Linked DNA regions of Saccharomyces cerevisiae S288C. Each later gene encodes a partner of the first gene's protein in a complex. Each region holds a gene or a part of one and is shown on either strand. Other genes may lie near its edges. A codon is read from its position in the direction of its gene.

The links.
Region 2: the proteins of TFS1 (region 1) and PRC1 are in contact, whole or in part, in a crystal structure (PDB 1WPX), measured with the Saccharomyces cerevisiae proteins. Residues at the interface, in NP_013279.1 of Saccharomyces cerevisiae: Met1 (codon at 5,407), Asn2 (codon at 5,410), Gln3 (codon at 5,413), Ala4 (codon at 5,416), Ile5 (codon at 5,419), Phe7 (codon at 5,425), Ala10 (codon at 5,434), Ser11 (codon at 5,437), Asp13 (codon at 5,443), Ser14 (codon at 5,446), Lys17 (codon at 5,455), His18 (codon at 5,458), Ile35 (codon at 5,509), Ala37 (codon at 5,515), Val38 (codon at 5,518), Glu39 (codon at 5,521), Pro45 (codon at 5,539), Val46 (codon at 5,542), Ala47 (codon at 5,545), Met48 (codon at 5,548), Gly49 (codon at 5,551), Asn50 (codon at 5,554), Thr51 (codon at 5,557), Gln62 (codon at 5,590), Phe63 (codon at 5,593), Gln64 (codon at 5,596), Thr66 (codon at 5,602), Asn68 (codon at 5,608), Gln70 (codon at 5,614), Phe133 (codon at 5,803); in NP_014026.1 of Saccharomyces cerevisiae: Gly164 (codon at 2,366), Ser217 (codon at 2,525), Ser221 (codon at 2,537), Ser257 (codon at 2,645), Tyr258 (codon at 2,648), Leu289 (codon at 2,741), Arg327 (codon at 2,855), Leu331 (codon at 2,867), Val341 (codon at 2,897), Trp342 (codon at 2,900), Val345 (codon at 2,909), Pro346 (codon at 2,912), Thr348 (codon at 2,918), Ile349 (codon at 2,921), Tyr350 (codon at 2,924), Asn352 (codon at 2,930), Asn353 (codon at 2,933), Leu356 (codon at 2,942), Ala357 (codon at 2,945), Gln360 (codon at 2,954), Arg361 (codon at 2,957), Val366 (codon at 2,972), Tyr367 (codon at 2,975), Cys373 (codon at 2,993), Asn377 (codon at 3,005), Cys379 (codon at 3,011), Cys409 (codon at 3,101), Asn410 (codon at 3,104), Phe411 (codon at 3,107), Asp412 (codon at 3,110).

The regions. Positions count from the first base shown.
Region 1 is NC_001144.5:508,739-519,227, reverse strand, and holds TFS1 (Tfs1p), read left to right. Parts: upstream 1-5,406; coding exon 5,407-6,066; downstream 6,067-10,489. Other genes in the region: transcriptional regulator SWI6, read right to left, coding at 1-1,288; VTA1 (Vta1p), read left to right, coding at 1,558-2,550; methionine adenosyltransferase SAM1, read right to left, coding at 2,818-3,966; YLR179C (uncharacterized protein), read left to right, coding at 4,515-5,120; YLR177W (uncharacterized protein), read right to left, coding at 6,288-8,174; RFX1 (Rfx1p), read left to right, coding at 8,996-10,489. UniProt on the Saccharomyces cerevisiae protein: Specific and potent inhibitor of carboxypeptidase Y.
Region 2 is NC_001145.3:860,046-864,020, forward strand, and holds PRC1 (carboxypeptidase C PRC1), read left to right. Parts: upstream 1-1,876; coding exon 1,877-3,475; downstream 3,476-3,975. Other genes in the region: serine C-palmitoyltransferase LCB1, read right to left, coding at 1-846; sphingosine N-acyltransferase subunit LIP1, read left to right, coding at 3,774-3,975. UniProt on the Saccharomyces cerevisiae protein: Vacuolar serine-type carboxypeptidase involved in degradation of small peptides. Digests preferentially peptides containing an aliphatic or hydrophobic residue in P1' position, as well as methionine, leucine or phenylalanine in P1 position of ester substrate.

The DNA.
Region 1 (10,489 bases):
CACTTTGAATGGGTCTATTTTGTTTCTTGACAATCCATCCCATTAAAATATCTAAATAATATTTCGCAGCTGCTGAACAGCCAGTCATACCAGACGTAATAATGATATGGTGCAAAATTGTTCTATTCATTGAGTCTTCCAAAATTAAACATGGATATAAATAATCTAGAAGTGCCTCAAAAGTACCAGAGTCGTAATTATTTACTGATTTGACAGCTTTCACTAGGCATGACTCCCCCATATTATCACCATATAATCTGTTTGAACCATGCTTAACCAGGTGTTTCACTAATTCCAGGTTTGCTATTGAAGTCAGCCAATGTAATGGTGTGTTTCCATGCTCATCTACAGGAATATTAAGATTTAATTGAGTATTAGGAAAAGCGTCGTTTACCTCTTGCAAAAGGCTATCAAATGATACGTGCTGTTGTTGTTGGTTTGAGCTCCCCCCTTCTGAATTTCTATTACTGCTGTCATTATTAAGGGATGTAGGCATTTCTTGAATTTCTGGAAATAACAACCGTTGTAAGAATGCCTCTAGTTTCATCTTCTGTTCATTATCATTTACAACTGGAGAAGGTAGTGCTTTCATGATTTTCAGTGGACTGCTTAAAAAGTCAGAAGTTAGGTCATGAGTGAATGTTATGATAGGTCCAGCGGTTCTGTCATTGTCATCAGTGCCATTATTTTCATTGTCGCCGCTAGGGCCCTTATTAATATCATCGTTAGGCTTGCCTCTGGCAGTATTCGGAGTGGAGTCACTCTCAGCATCTATTACAGAGGTATCTATTTTTAGTTTTTTTAAAGGAGAGCCTAATTCTCTGTGTGCATCAGAATCCAGGCTCATATCTTGTAAATTATTAATCCTCTTTGAGCTGATATTATCCTTAGAATTTTCACTTTTGGTCTTGTTTTCTGGTAGTTTCGAATGGCTGGGATCTTCTTCATCCTGATCTGTTTCAGGCTCCTCAAATTCGAATGCATCCTGGAACAAACCGAATAAATTTAGCATGTTTAATAATTGTAAACATTTTTCCAGCTCTATCCATAACTCACCTCGGTCGTCTGTATTTACAGCAATTCCATAATGTGCCAGTAATTTATTTCTTTCCTCATCAGTGGGGAAACTATCGGGGTTGGTCTCGTTAATATTCCCCGTGTCATGATATTGCTGCAAAATGGGCAGAAAATGTTTCAGGAGGAAATGGCCAGTCTCCGAGTCTCTAGTGAGTGTCAAAGGGATCTCATTGTGAGGTCCTAAGTATCGTACCACTTCTTCCAACGCCATCCTCTCGAGAATTATACTGTGTTCCCCTTTATTATTCTTTTTTTTTTAGCTATTGCTTAGTTCATATTGATGTTTCTCAATCGTGTTTTTTGTTGTTTTTTTTTATTATTATGAAATCGTTGGAGAAGGAAACTAAAAAAAAAAACTAAGATTTGGTGAATGATCTTATCCAAACGGTCCAGATGAAGACAAAAAAAGGAACAATAAGCTTTCTTATTTTATTTGATTCAATTTTTAGAAACTAATTGTCCACATTTTAAATAAATTCTATGGCTAGTAACGCTGCAAGGGTTGTCGCTACAGCGAAGGATTTTGACAAAGTTGGGTTAGGGATCATCGGATACTATCTTCAGTTATATGCGGTGGAATTGATACTGAGTGAAGAAGATCGGTCGCAAGAGATGACCGCACTAGCGACAGAACTTCTTGATACTATTGAAGCGTTTAAGAAGGAGATTGGCGGCGAGAGTGAAGCAGAAGACAGTGACAAAAGCTTACACGTTATGAACACGCTAATACATGATCAAGAAAAAGCCAAAATTTATATGCTAAATTTTACAATGTCGTTGTATAACGAGAAACTGAAACAGCTAAAAGATGGTCCCTGGGATGTTATGTTAAAAAGATCACTTTGGTGTTGTATTGATTTATTTTCATGCATTTTACACCTGTGGAAGGAAAATATAAGTGAAACGAGTACAAATTCATTACAAAAACGAATTAAGTATTGCAAAATTTATTTGAGTAAATTGGCAAAGGGTGAAATTGGTTCCAGCGACGAGAAAACGTTAGATTATGCAGATTTTGCGGATGATAGCGAGGAGATTAAGGATGAAGATGTTGATCACCAGACAAGCGATTTGGAAAACAATAATAATGATAAAGTCGAAGGCCTAGCCCCAAAAGACCAAACAACATCATACGAGCCTGTGGATGAGGTACCTGAATTTATTGATGATGCCGATAGCGTAAACGAAGAAGAACAGACCGTCGACAAGAACGAAGATGCAATAACAAAAGACGAACAACAAGTTGTGAAGAAAGAAGTGGATCTTACGCGCCCTTCTGCACCATCAGAACCTGCTGCAGCAGAGCATAAATCGTATACAAAGGATGAGTTGACAAAAATTATGGACAGGGCCAGTAAAATAGAGCAAATTCAAAAACTTGCCAAATACGCCATAAGCGCATTGAATTATGAAGACCTGCCCACCGCCAAAGATGAGTTAACTAAGGCGTTGGATCTGTTAAATTCTATTTGAATAAGATAAAGTTTGGTTTGTTGATCCGTTGAAGGAGGTATATATTAATATTAGTAGTTACGTATTAAATGTTAGAAAGGAAAAGGAATCCTGTATAATGCAAAATGAAATCGATACAAATTTGATTTGAGAAAAATGAGTCTATATCAAGAATATGATGGTATTGCGTCCCTGCATCAAATACGGTATAATGTACATGTTGACTTGTGTTGAGCAAATGAAAACATGGGAGGTTGAAGGCAGAAAAAAGTCCAAAAGGAAAAAAGCTTAGAACTTCAAAGTCTTAGGCTTTTCCCATGGGTATTCTTGGTTTGTGAAATGGCCATAAGAAGCGGTTGGCAAGTAGATTGGTCTAGCTAAGTCCAACTCCTTGACCAATACACCAGGTCTCAAGTCAAAGTTCTTGCTGATAATGTCGATAATTTCTTCGTCAGACTTGGTCGCAGTACCATAGGTGTCAACGTGCAAGGACAATGGTTCCGCAATACCGATGGCATAAGAAAATTGAACTTGAACTCTCTTACATAAACCAGCGGCAACTAGGGACTTGGCAACCCATCTAGCGGCATAAGCGGCAGAACGATCAACCTTAGAGTAGTCCTTACCGGAGAAGGCACCACCACCGACGGATGAGGCACCACCGTAAGCGTCGACGATGATCTTTCTACCGGTCAAACCAGCGTCACCTTGAGGACCACCGATGACGAATCTACCGGAAGGTTGGATAAAGTATTTGGTGTTTTCGTCCAACATGTCTCTTGGGATGACTTTTTCAATGATCTCGGACTTTAGTTGCGCTCTTAAGTCCTCGGTCGTGATTTCGTCAGCATGTTGAGCGGAGACGACGACGGTGTCGATTCTTTGTGGAACCCATCTACCGTGGTCATCCTTGTATTCGACGGTGACTTGAGTCTTGGTGTCTGGTCTCAACCACGCTAAAGAGCCATCTCTTCTCGCGTCAGCCATGGCCATGTTTAGTTTATGAGCCAAAAGAATAGTCAAAGGCAAACCCTCTGGAGTTTCATCTGTGGCGTAACCAAACATGATACCTTGGTCACCGGCACCGATGTCTTCCAAATCCTTCTCCTCGTGGACACCTTGGGCGATATCTGGAGATTGTTGCTCAATGGCGACAAGGACGTTACAGGTCTTATAGTCGAAACCCTTGGCGGAATCATCGTAACCAATCTTCTTGATGGTGTCTCTGACGATTTTTTGGTAATCCAACTGTGCCTTGGTAGTAATTTCACCAAAGACCATAATCATACCAGTCTTTGCCGCGGTTTCACACGCAACTTTGGAGTGAGGGTCCTCGGCTAAACAAGCGTCCAAGATGGCGTCGGAAACTTGGTCACAGATCTTATCTGGGTGACCTTCACCAACGGATTCAGAAGTGAATAAAAATGTACCGGCCATATTTTCGTTTATCTTATTTTTTCTTGTTTTTAGGGTAAATTCCTGGTTTTTACTCTATTTTTTTTTCGAAGCTAACCGAAAAACAACGATGAATAACAGACAACACCAGTCGATATATACGTCCCAAACCAATCCCATTAAGTACTAAACGGAAAACTTTTTACTCTTCCCTTTTTCATCGATACCAGAGTGAAAAACTACGATGAGGCTAAAATTTCCTCGAGACAAGAACCCGAAAAAAGAAATGCACTAGTAGGCAAGGGCGCCACCACAGTTTTCCTGTGAAAAAAAAAAAAGAAAGTATTCGTGTGTAGTGATATATAACTTTATCTTCAAATTCTATTTCCGTCTTACGTCCGTTTCGGTACCTTTTTTTCAAAAGATCTTGCCTGACATTTTTTTGAACAATATAAAAGTGCCAAGCGTGCTCATTATTGGAAGTGCGCACCAGGTGAGGAATTGAATGTTGCCATCAATTGTTTGAGTAAACACTGCCCATCTGCCACTTTCGGTACCCATCCGAGTACTTAGTAATAGAAATATATATTATGTCTAGTGCCATCGTTGCTAAACTGAACAAAGAGGACATCATTAAGGACACCGTCAAGGACTTGGCGTTCGAGATTCTTGGTGAGTTGTCGGTTTCGTACGTTGATTCTGACGACATCAAATTGGGCAATCCCATGCCAATGGAAGCTACGCAAGCCGCTCCTACCATCAAGTTCACGCCCTTCGATAAAAGCCAATTGTCAGCCGAGGATAAACTCGCTTTGTTGATGACTGACCCGGACGCGCCCTCTAGAACAGAACATAAGTGGTCGGAGGTTTGTCACTACATCATCACTGATATTCCTGTCGAGTACGGACCTGGGGGAGATATTGCCATTTCGGGGAAGGGTGTCGTGAGAAATAACTATATTGGGCCTGGTCCACCAAAGAACTCCGGTTATCACAGATACGTGTTCTTCCTGTGCAAGCAACCCAAGGGAGCGGATTCGTCCACTTTTACCAAGGTTGAGAACATTATCTCCTGGGGGTACGGTACTCCTGGTGCGGGTGCCTATGACTATATCAAGGAGAACAATCTGCAACTGGTCGGTGCCAATTATTACATGGTCGAAAACACGACCGTTGATTTCAACTATGACATGTAAGGTGCAGCAACCGGCTCGTATAGATACGGATAAGATAGAGTATATTGTGCAAACGCGTATATGAAATAGTGAATATATACATGCCGAACGGTTCCGTTTTTTTTTTTTTTGGCTCGTTGATTTTTCCTATCCCTTTGAACTTTTCTATCTTTTAAGGGATAGAGGGGCTGTTCAGGGAAGGAAAGATCTCAATTGGTATATAAAAAGGGGGCAGCAAGAAACGAATTGCAGTGCTCCTTTTCCCTACCAGTGCATCAATACAAGAACAAGAGAACAAGCAAAAAACATGAACCAAGCAATAGACTTCGCACAAGCAAGCATTGACTCCTACAAGAAGCACGGCATTCTGGAGGATGTAATTCATGACACAAGCTTTCAACCCTCCGGGATACTTGCCGTAGAGTACTCATCAAGTGCACCTGTTGCCATGGGTAACACGCTGCCCACTGAGAAGGCACGTTCCAAGCCCCAATTCCAGTTCACGTTCAATAAGCAAATGCAAAAAAGCGTACCACAGGCGAATGCGTACGTTCCCCAAGACGACGATTTGTTCACACTGGTAATGACCGATCCGGATGCTCCCTCTAAGACAGATCACAAGTGGTCTGAATTCTGCCACTTGGTAGAATGCGACTTAAAGCTGTTGAATGAGGCTACTCACGAGACCTCCGGAGCAACCGAATTTTTTGCATCAGAGTTCAATACGAAGGGCTCGAACACACTAATAGAATATATGGGACCAGCTCCACCCAAGGGATCCGGTCCCCACAGATATGTTTTCTTGTTATATAAGCAGCCTAAGGGCGTGGACTCATCTAAGTTCTCGAAAATTAAGGATAGACCGAACTGGGGTTACGGCACCCCTGCCACCGGTGTTGGCAAATGGGCTAAGGAAAACAACCTGCAACTAGTTGCCTCCAATTTCTTCTATGCGGAAACGAAATAGGTATATATATATATATATGTATATGTATTTATTTTTTAGATTTCAGTGCTTTTCACTTGACTTTTTATTATTTTTGTTTTATTTATGTTTTTGTCACAAACGCGCACATGTTTGTAGGGAGTAATGTCATTGTCAAACAAAACACATAAGAAAAACATGGTGAGATTATTAAAAAAGTGTATAAGTTTATAAAATGTTTATAATGATTATATAAGTTTGGGTTAGCCGAACAAAACCTTCACCAATTCCATATAAACACCGATCTGGAAGTCGTCCAGTTTCAAGCGATTCAGTTCAGGGGCCACGACAATTCCAGTGTTGTCCATGGAATAGTGGGACATCATATCCTGATACATCTCCCACTCAAACTTGTTTGAATCATAAAATTTGGAATCTATCGATAAATTGTTCGGTATAGCACAAAGCCAAATTCTTGTTTTGTAAAACTTAAAGAGTTCTTTGATCAGGTCTCTGAAATCATTACGCTCCTGGCAAATGTAGTAGAAAGTCAATTTCTTTCTGTCGAATTGGAACTCTGCATTCAATATTTTGATGTTCAACCCGCCACCGGAGTTATTGTTATTTAGCGACCTCAGTTTTAGCTGTGCAATGTGAAGAGCCTTTAGCTCATCCTGGAATTTGTTGTGTAAATTCGTGGAGGATTCCCACGGGGTGGCAAATCTCAGAACCTGCTTTGATGGGATGATCAATTGCGTTAGTTCAATGATATCATATAACTTCGGATTCAACTCATGAGCGACCGGCTTACCATTGGTTGTATCAACCAGAGTCTTGATAAACTGGTCATTGGGGAAATGCTGTTGACTATTGGTGATTAGAGAATCAAAGTGAATTTTTTTCTTCAAAAAATTTATAAATAGTGCCAAATTTATATCTACAACCGGTTCCACCACCAAAACTAAATCTTTACCACGATCACCATCAATAATGACCAAATCGCCCCTTTTCAGTATAAGTGTGGCCGTTTGTGGTTTAGACAACAGTTCGAGCTTACCATTTTTCAACGATACTAACACTAATGGCTTATAGTGCAAATGCATTGAAGTGCTGTTCTTGGATTTGGCCGCCCCGGTCGACGAAGCGTTTGAAACAGCAGTGGAGATGAATGCGTCAGACTGTGGGTTGTAATTCAGATTACAATTTTTCAAAAAATCCAAAAACTCTATAATCCTGGAACTGGAGGCGGAGACATTATCCCCGCGTAAAGTTCCCTTTATGCTGTCAATAAATTTATAAACTTTATCACTAGCAAAATAGTTTGACCCGCAGTCAAGATATAAGTCATGCAGCTCCTTGGATGACGTCAAATTCTTGCCGTCGACAACCGCCAATCCGGCATCGTTTGTGGGAGCGGCTGCCGGATGCAAGTTCAGCACTGGCTGGGTGTTGCGCCTAGCATTGAAGGGTGACGAGTACTGTTGCTGCTGAGTATACTCGGAAGGAGCAGTGTATGGTACTTGCAAAGATGGGTTGTTGTTAATATATACAGGTTGCGAGTATTGTGGTTGCTGGGTAGCCGCATTGCCATGAATCAGCGCATCAGAAATATAGGAAGATCTTCTTCCCGGGTCAAAGATGCTTTGTTGCTGTTGCTGCTGCTGCTGCTGCTGCTGCTGCTGCTGTTTCTGTGGATAGTATTTTTGGGAGCTGTTGTTTAAGGGAGAAAGAATATTGTTAGGCGAAGTGTTCATCACATTCAAGTAATCCTGTTTGTATGGCTTTCTGTCCTGAGTCGGGGTGCCGTTAAACTCAAATGAGAAAAGAGACAAATTAGGGCTCTTCCCGTTAATGCTCATCTCGCTCTGTTTCCTTCCTTCGTCCGCAAATGCGCTGAACGAGGCCCTTTTAGTGTTCTTCTGCCCCAGAAGAGACTGCTTATCCTCTCTGAAACCGATGTAACCGTTGATAAAGTCAACTCTGGAGCGGGGATGCGCAGCAGCGCTGTTGTCGTTAAAATCTGCCATTTTTCCTGGCAAATCCGCTAGCGACTTGCCACTATTGTTCTTGAACAGCAACTTGTCATAGTAATTCCTTAACTCCTGGTTGTCGGATATACTTGTGGTGCTATTTATTGAAGGCAGCTCCATGGTACCCTATTTCTATCTTTATTCCTGTGTCTATACGTCTATGCACTCTAGTGAGCTGATATTGAATGGCGCCTCCTCTCTCCATTGTTCTTTTATTGTTTATATACTGTGCCAGCGATCCCCGCGTGTCCTGCCCCTGAAACACCGGCGCAGGAACCCCTTGAGCGTGGGGAAGGGGAAGGTTCAATTTACGGGCAGCTCGAGCTGCCCGTAAATTGAACCACACTCTCTTGGTATTTGGATAATCAAGTGTGTACATACTTTGTGCAAGTGGGATTTACCCTACACCTCTCGAGGCCTTGTCCTACGATAGTCGTAATAACGCAGACAGCACCAGCGATACAGCAGCACCAACACACCAAGAAAAATAACCATCAACCGTACGGAAGCCCCTTTGTATGCTGGGTAGCTGATGTGCACCTAAATCAGCCGGGCGTGGCAGCAGTCGACGCATACTTGTTTCTTTAGCTCTATTCTTGTTACAGGACCATCTAGGTATGCAAAAACGAAGGTGCGGTTTTTCCTATCTGGTACGGTGCGGAAGAGGGAAAGAAGAAACGAAGGTCCAATGGTAGCGCCACTCCACGATATACAGCTTCGTTGGTAAAACCACGAGTTTGGAATCAAACTCGTGGCTCACCTATGGATCTTCGGATTTTATTTCAAGCACGGTCACCTCCCCTTCGTTGCGGTTTCTTGCGCACGTTTGTGGTGTCTATTGCTGCAACAGTTGAACCTGTTTTTGATTTCGTAATTTTTCTCCTGTCGTTTCGTGTTGTCATGGCGATTTGGGAAAAAGTTGAAAAAAAAAATAGCAGTAAATGGTAATCTTCAAAGAACGCAAACCAACAGAAAACCTTTTCACTAGAAAAATACCTGCCAAGTACTTCATCTTCTCGCCTAGTTTTTTGTCTGTTCATTATTTTGAATTTTATTTGCCCATGTCCGGTGATAATAACATTGAACCTACTAGTCGGGGCTCGAACGACAATAGCAACGGTCCAAGTAACGGATCTTCGGTAAACAGTAATCGGTACAGTTTAAACGCACCCAAGTACAGCAGCCAACCACCGCCAGCATCACACACTTATTTGCCCCCCATGTCAGTGAATATCCCGCCCATAGCGAGCAAATCATCGTCAATATACAGCCTGCTACACCAAAGTTCCCCCCGCCCGGAGACGCCAAATCCAATATTACCGCCACTTATCGGTAGTGGTCCCGGCTCCCATAAACCATCTCCTACCCCTACACAGCCTCCTGCACAACCCGCAACACAACGGCAACCTGCCACATACTCAGTGTATCCAGCGTCTATCAGCCTGAATAGATCGAATTCATCTGCTTACCCACTTTCTTTCAAGTCAGAGGAAACCTTAAACAATAATCCTCCTACTGCTGCCAAACGTACCAATACCTTCCCCTCAATTCCAAGCAGTACGAAAAAACAGAAAACAAGCCAAGAGAAACGAATCTCTTCCATTTCAAGGAGAAACACGCAAGAAATAATTGCTAAGCAAATTGCAGAAAATAACAAATCTAAAACCATCGAGGAGTATGCGCAGATCGTGAAGCATGCAGAAATCAAAGTCCTGAGCATGGACTCACAGAACACTTCAAAGGCAGCTTTGCAGCTGGCGGAACAAAACAGAGAAAGAGAAAGACAAGTGTTTGCGTTACTTTGGTTAATGAAAAATTGTAAATCTCAGCACGATAGTTACGTACCAAGAGGCAAAATATTTGCTCAATACGCTTCATCTTGTTCCCAAAACAACCTGAAGCCCTTATCACAGGCGTCATTAGGGAAGTTGATAAGAACAGTTTTTCCTGATTTAACGACTAGAAGGCTGGGTATGAGAGGTCAATCCAAATACCACTACTGCGGATTGAAACTAACTGTCAACGAAAGCGGCTCCGTGTCCCTTAATAACAACAATGCTTCGTTATCCTTAGTACACAATAACGATCCCATATCGCCCCTATCGTCTCCATCGCCCTCTTCACCTTCGCCGCAGGTACCTAACGTTTCATCGCCGTTCTCATTAAATAGAAAAAGTCTTTCTCGAACTGGGTCGCCCGTTAAACAGAGTAGTAATGACAACCCTAACGAACCAGAACTCGAATCACAGCATCCAAACGAAACAGAAGCAAATAAACTAGATTCGCTGCCACCAGCGGCAAATAACCCTACCGGAACACTGTCTTCAGATGAATTAACTTTCACTCATGATTTAATTGAAAAAGTTTTCAATTGTAATGACAAGCTATCAGATAACTATAATACCCAAATATTATCGAACACAGAACATCCGCTT
Region 2 (3,975 bases), on another chromosome or scaffold:
GGCGGGCAGTTTCTCAAGTTTCTCCTGTTCGGTCAACTCGTTTAATAAACATTCTAGCGAATTCATATCGTTGTGGTTGAAGTAGTAGACTGTGGATCTGCTTAGTTGCAGAGCATTTTGCACTGGTAATGACACCTGGTCGTCTGCCACGATAACATCACCACGCTTTGTGAAAGCAGGCAGAACAGAGGGTGCGGCACAAAAGTCTTGCCCGTACAGAACGGAACCTTGGGTGCCAAAGAACTGTGCTAAATCATATTCCAACGTGTAATGAACGTCCTGGTTACCGTAGAACCCGGCGGGACCACAGGCGCCCACACCGTAATTCTTGATAGTGGTCTTGACCACTTCTTTCACGGGCTCCGTAGCGGACAATTGCAAAAAGTTGTTCGAGGCCAAATTGAAAACATTGGTATACTTCTCCTGCAGGTTGTTTCTGGTGATAGTAATATGGTTCTGAATGGGCATTTCCATGGTGACGGGTGTTTTGGCCACCCTCCACGATTGCTCATCGGTGGCAGAAGGGTCGACTAGAGGCTCGGGCTCCCAGTCCTCAATTAGCGCGTCAATCTCCTGGGGCGATAGGTTGGGCTTCTGTGCTTGAAGACTCTTTTTCTGTTGTGGCTTGGACAAGTAATAGATGATCCCGTATAAAATAAGCCCTATCTCAACCGTGGTCCTGTATGGATCGTCATGATGCGATTTCTTGATGTACGAAACGATGAATTGGCCTCCCGGGATTTGAGTCAACACCAGATTGAAGTAGTACCATAGGTACGATGAGGTGGTAACAATAAATGCCGGAATCGGTATTGATTTGGGTAAAACCTCTGGGATGTGTGCCATTGCTTTTTTTTTTTGGGTGGGAAGGAAGAAAAAAGGATAAATAACCCTACACGAGCAAAATGTGTATATTGGAGGCCAGGCAGAAGGTTAGAGCGCTCTTATACTGTGCTACTCGATGATGTTGAAAAGAATTTTTTTTATTTTTCCTTTTCTTTTTCTTAAGTACTATATTTTCTCAATCTTACTTTCGTTCACTACAGTTAACCGCAGCAATATGCCCCTATAAAAAAGAATGAGTGAAAAATTTGTTAGCAGAGAAGCAAGAAGGAAAGAAGGAAAAAAAAAAGAAACCGTGTAAGAAATCATGGCGCCTCAAAAAAAAAAAAATACGCGAAATCGATTTCCGTATATGATGATACATATGTTAGGTCTCTTATGGTAGTTTTTAGGGTCTGTCCTGTTTTTTGAAGGCATTGGTTAGGGTCTAGTAAGTAACTCGTATAAAGAGATGTACTTTTATACGGTATGTGTGGCGGTTATTTCCAGTGTTTTTTTTCCCTTATTTTGTGGGTTCATGGAAATAGTACATATTGACCTTCTGCACAAGAAGCCATATTGACAGAGCAGTATGTGAGGACCTTTCTTCTACACAATGTAACAGTCAATGGTTGTAGTCAATACCACGACCTTTACGTGCAGTTTTAGAGCGAAACTTCGGTTTTTTGAGACTTACCTCGTGTTTGTGTCTCCCTGGGAATGGAGCCGCGCCACCCTTGTCTATTATGTATAGTCTTATTTAATCATAGCGATGTTGGTCATCCAGTACACTTCGGTAGCAACCTTCGTTTGTGATTGTCTTGGTAATTGCTTCCAACAACTTTATCCATCATTGAGACAGGGGCCATATCACCCGCGGGGTCTCAAAGAAGGGGCCCACTAATAAAAGCACGAGATAAGAATGCCAGCAAAAAAGCTCCGAAATAATTCTTTTCGTCTTCCCTCCTAGTCTTAACAAGACAAGAGAGAGAGAGAGAAAGAATACTCACTAGAGATTGTTTCTTTTCTACTCAACTTAAAGTATACATACGCTATGAAAGCATTCACCAGTTTACTATGTGGACTAGGCCTGTCCACTACACTCGCTAAGGCCATCTCATTGCAAAGACCGTTGGGTCTAGATAAGGACGTTTTGCTGCAAGCTGCGGAAAAATTTGGTTTGGACCTCGACCTGGATCATCTCTTGAAGGAGTTGGACTCCAATGTATTGGACGCTTGGGCCCAAATAGAGCATTTGTACCCAAACCAGGTTATGAGCCTTGAAACTTCCACTAAGCCAAAATTCCCTGAAGCAATCAAAACGAAGAAAGACTGGGACTTTGTGGTCAAGAATGACGCAATTGAAAACTATCAGCTTCGTGTCAACAAGATTAAGGACCCTAAAATCCTGGGCATTGACCCAAATGTCACACAGTACACGGGTTACTTGGATGTGGAAGACGAGGACAAGCATTTCTTCTTTTGGACTTTTGAAAGTAGAAACGATCCTGCAAAGGATCCGGTCATCCTTTGGTTGAACGGGGGTCCAGGTTGTTCTTCACTAACCGGGCTGTTCTTTGAATTAGGACCCTCATCCATTGGACCTGATTTGAAACCCATCGGGAACCCTTACTCTTGGAACAGCAATGCCACCGTGATCTTCCTTGACCAGCCTGTCAACGTTGGGTTCTCGTATTCCGGGTCCTCAGGTGTTTCCAACACTGTCGCCGCTGGTAAGGATGTCTATAACTTCTTGGAGTTGTTCTTCGATCAGTTCCCTGAATACGTCAACAAGGGCCAAGATTTCCACATCGCTGGGGAATCCTACGCCGGCCATTACATCCCTGTTTTTGCCTCTGAAATTTTGTCTCACAAGGACAGAAACTTCAACTTAACCTCCGTCTTGATCGGAAATGGCCTCACTGACCCATTGACTCAGTATAACTATTACGAACCAATGGCCTGTGGTGAAGGTGGCGAACCATCTGTTTTGCCCTCGGAGGAATGCTCTGCTATGGAAGACTCTTTGGAACGTTGTTTGGGCTTGATCGAGTCGTGCTATGACTCGCAATCCGTCTGGTCCTGTGTTCCAGCTACCATTTATTGTAATAACGCCCAATTGGCTCCTTACCAACGTACCGGCAGAAACGTTTACGATATCAGGAAGGATTGTGAAGGTGGCAATTTGTGCTACCCAACGTTACAAGATATCGACGACTACTTAAACCAGGACTACGTCAAAGAAGCTGTCGGTGCGGAGGTTGACCACTACGAATCCTGTAACTTCGATATCAACAGAAATTTCCTGTTTGCGGGTGATTGGATGAAGCCTTACCACACCGCCGTAACAGATCTTTTGAATCAAGACCTACCCATTCTGGTATATGCAGGCGATAAAGATTTCATCTGTAACTGGTTGGGTAATAAGGCGTGGACGGATGTCTTGCCATGGAAGTACGACGAAGAATTTGCAAGCCAAAAAGTACGTAACTGGACTGCTTCTATCACCGACGAGGTCGCTGGTGAAGTCAAATCCTACAAGCACTTCACCTATTTGAGAGTCTTCAATGGTGGCCACATGGTTCCATTTGACGTCCCTGAAAACGCCTTAAGTATGGTTAACGAATGGATCCACGGTGGTTTCTCCTTATAAAGCGTGTATGTGTAGGCATACCGTTTTTATTATCAGCTACGATCGAAATATATACGTTTTTATCTATGTTACGTTATATATTGTAGTCTTAACCATTTGTAAGTTTTGCTTCTTTTCTTTTATTCATTTCATAACATCATACTGTTTTACGTAATACCATCCTTAACTTTTTCCACCGAAGGGGAGGAAGAACTAAATTCTAGAAAAATGAAACCATTAAAAAAAAAGAAAACAATAGAGCTGCTTCTACAATTTTGCACATCAAAAAAGACCTCCAACTACCGAGTTTGTAAGTACAATGTCTCAACCCACTCCCATCATAACTACAAAATCAGCTGCTAAGCCAAAACCAAAAATTTTTAATTTATTCCGCGTTTGCTTCATTTCATTATTGCTGATCGCTGCGGTTGAATACTTCAAGTATGGTACAAGAATTAACTATGAATGGTTCCATTGTACCCCAATCAAAGAACCCCAGTCTGGCTCAGTAATCAAGCTTT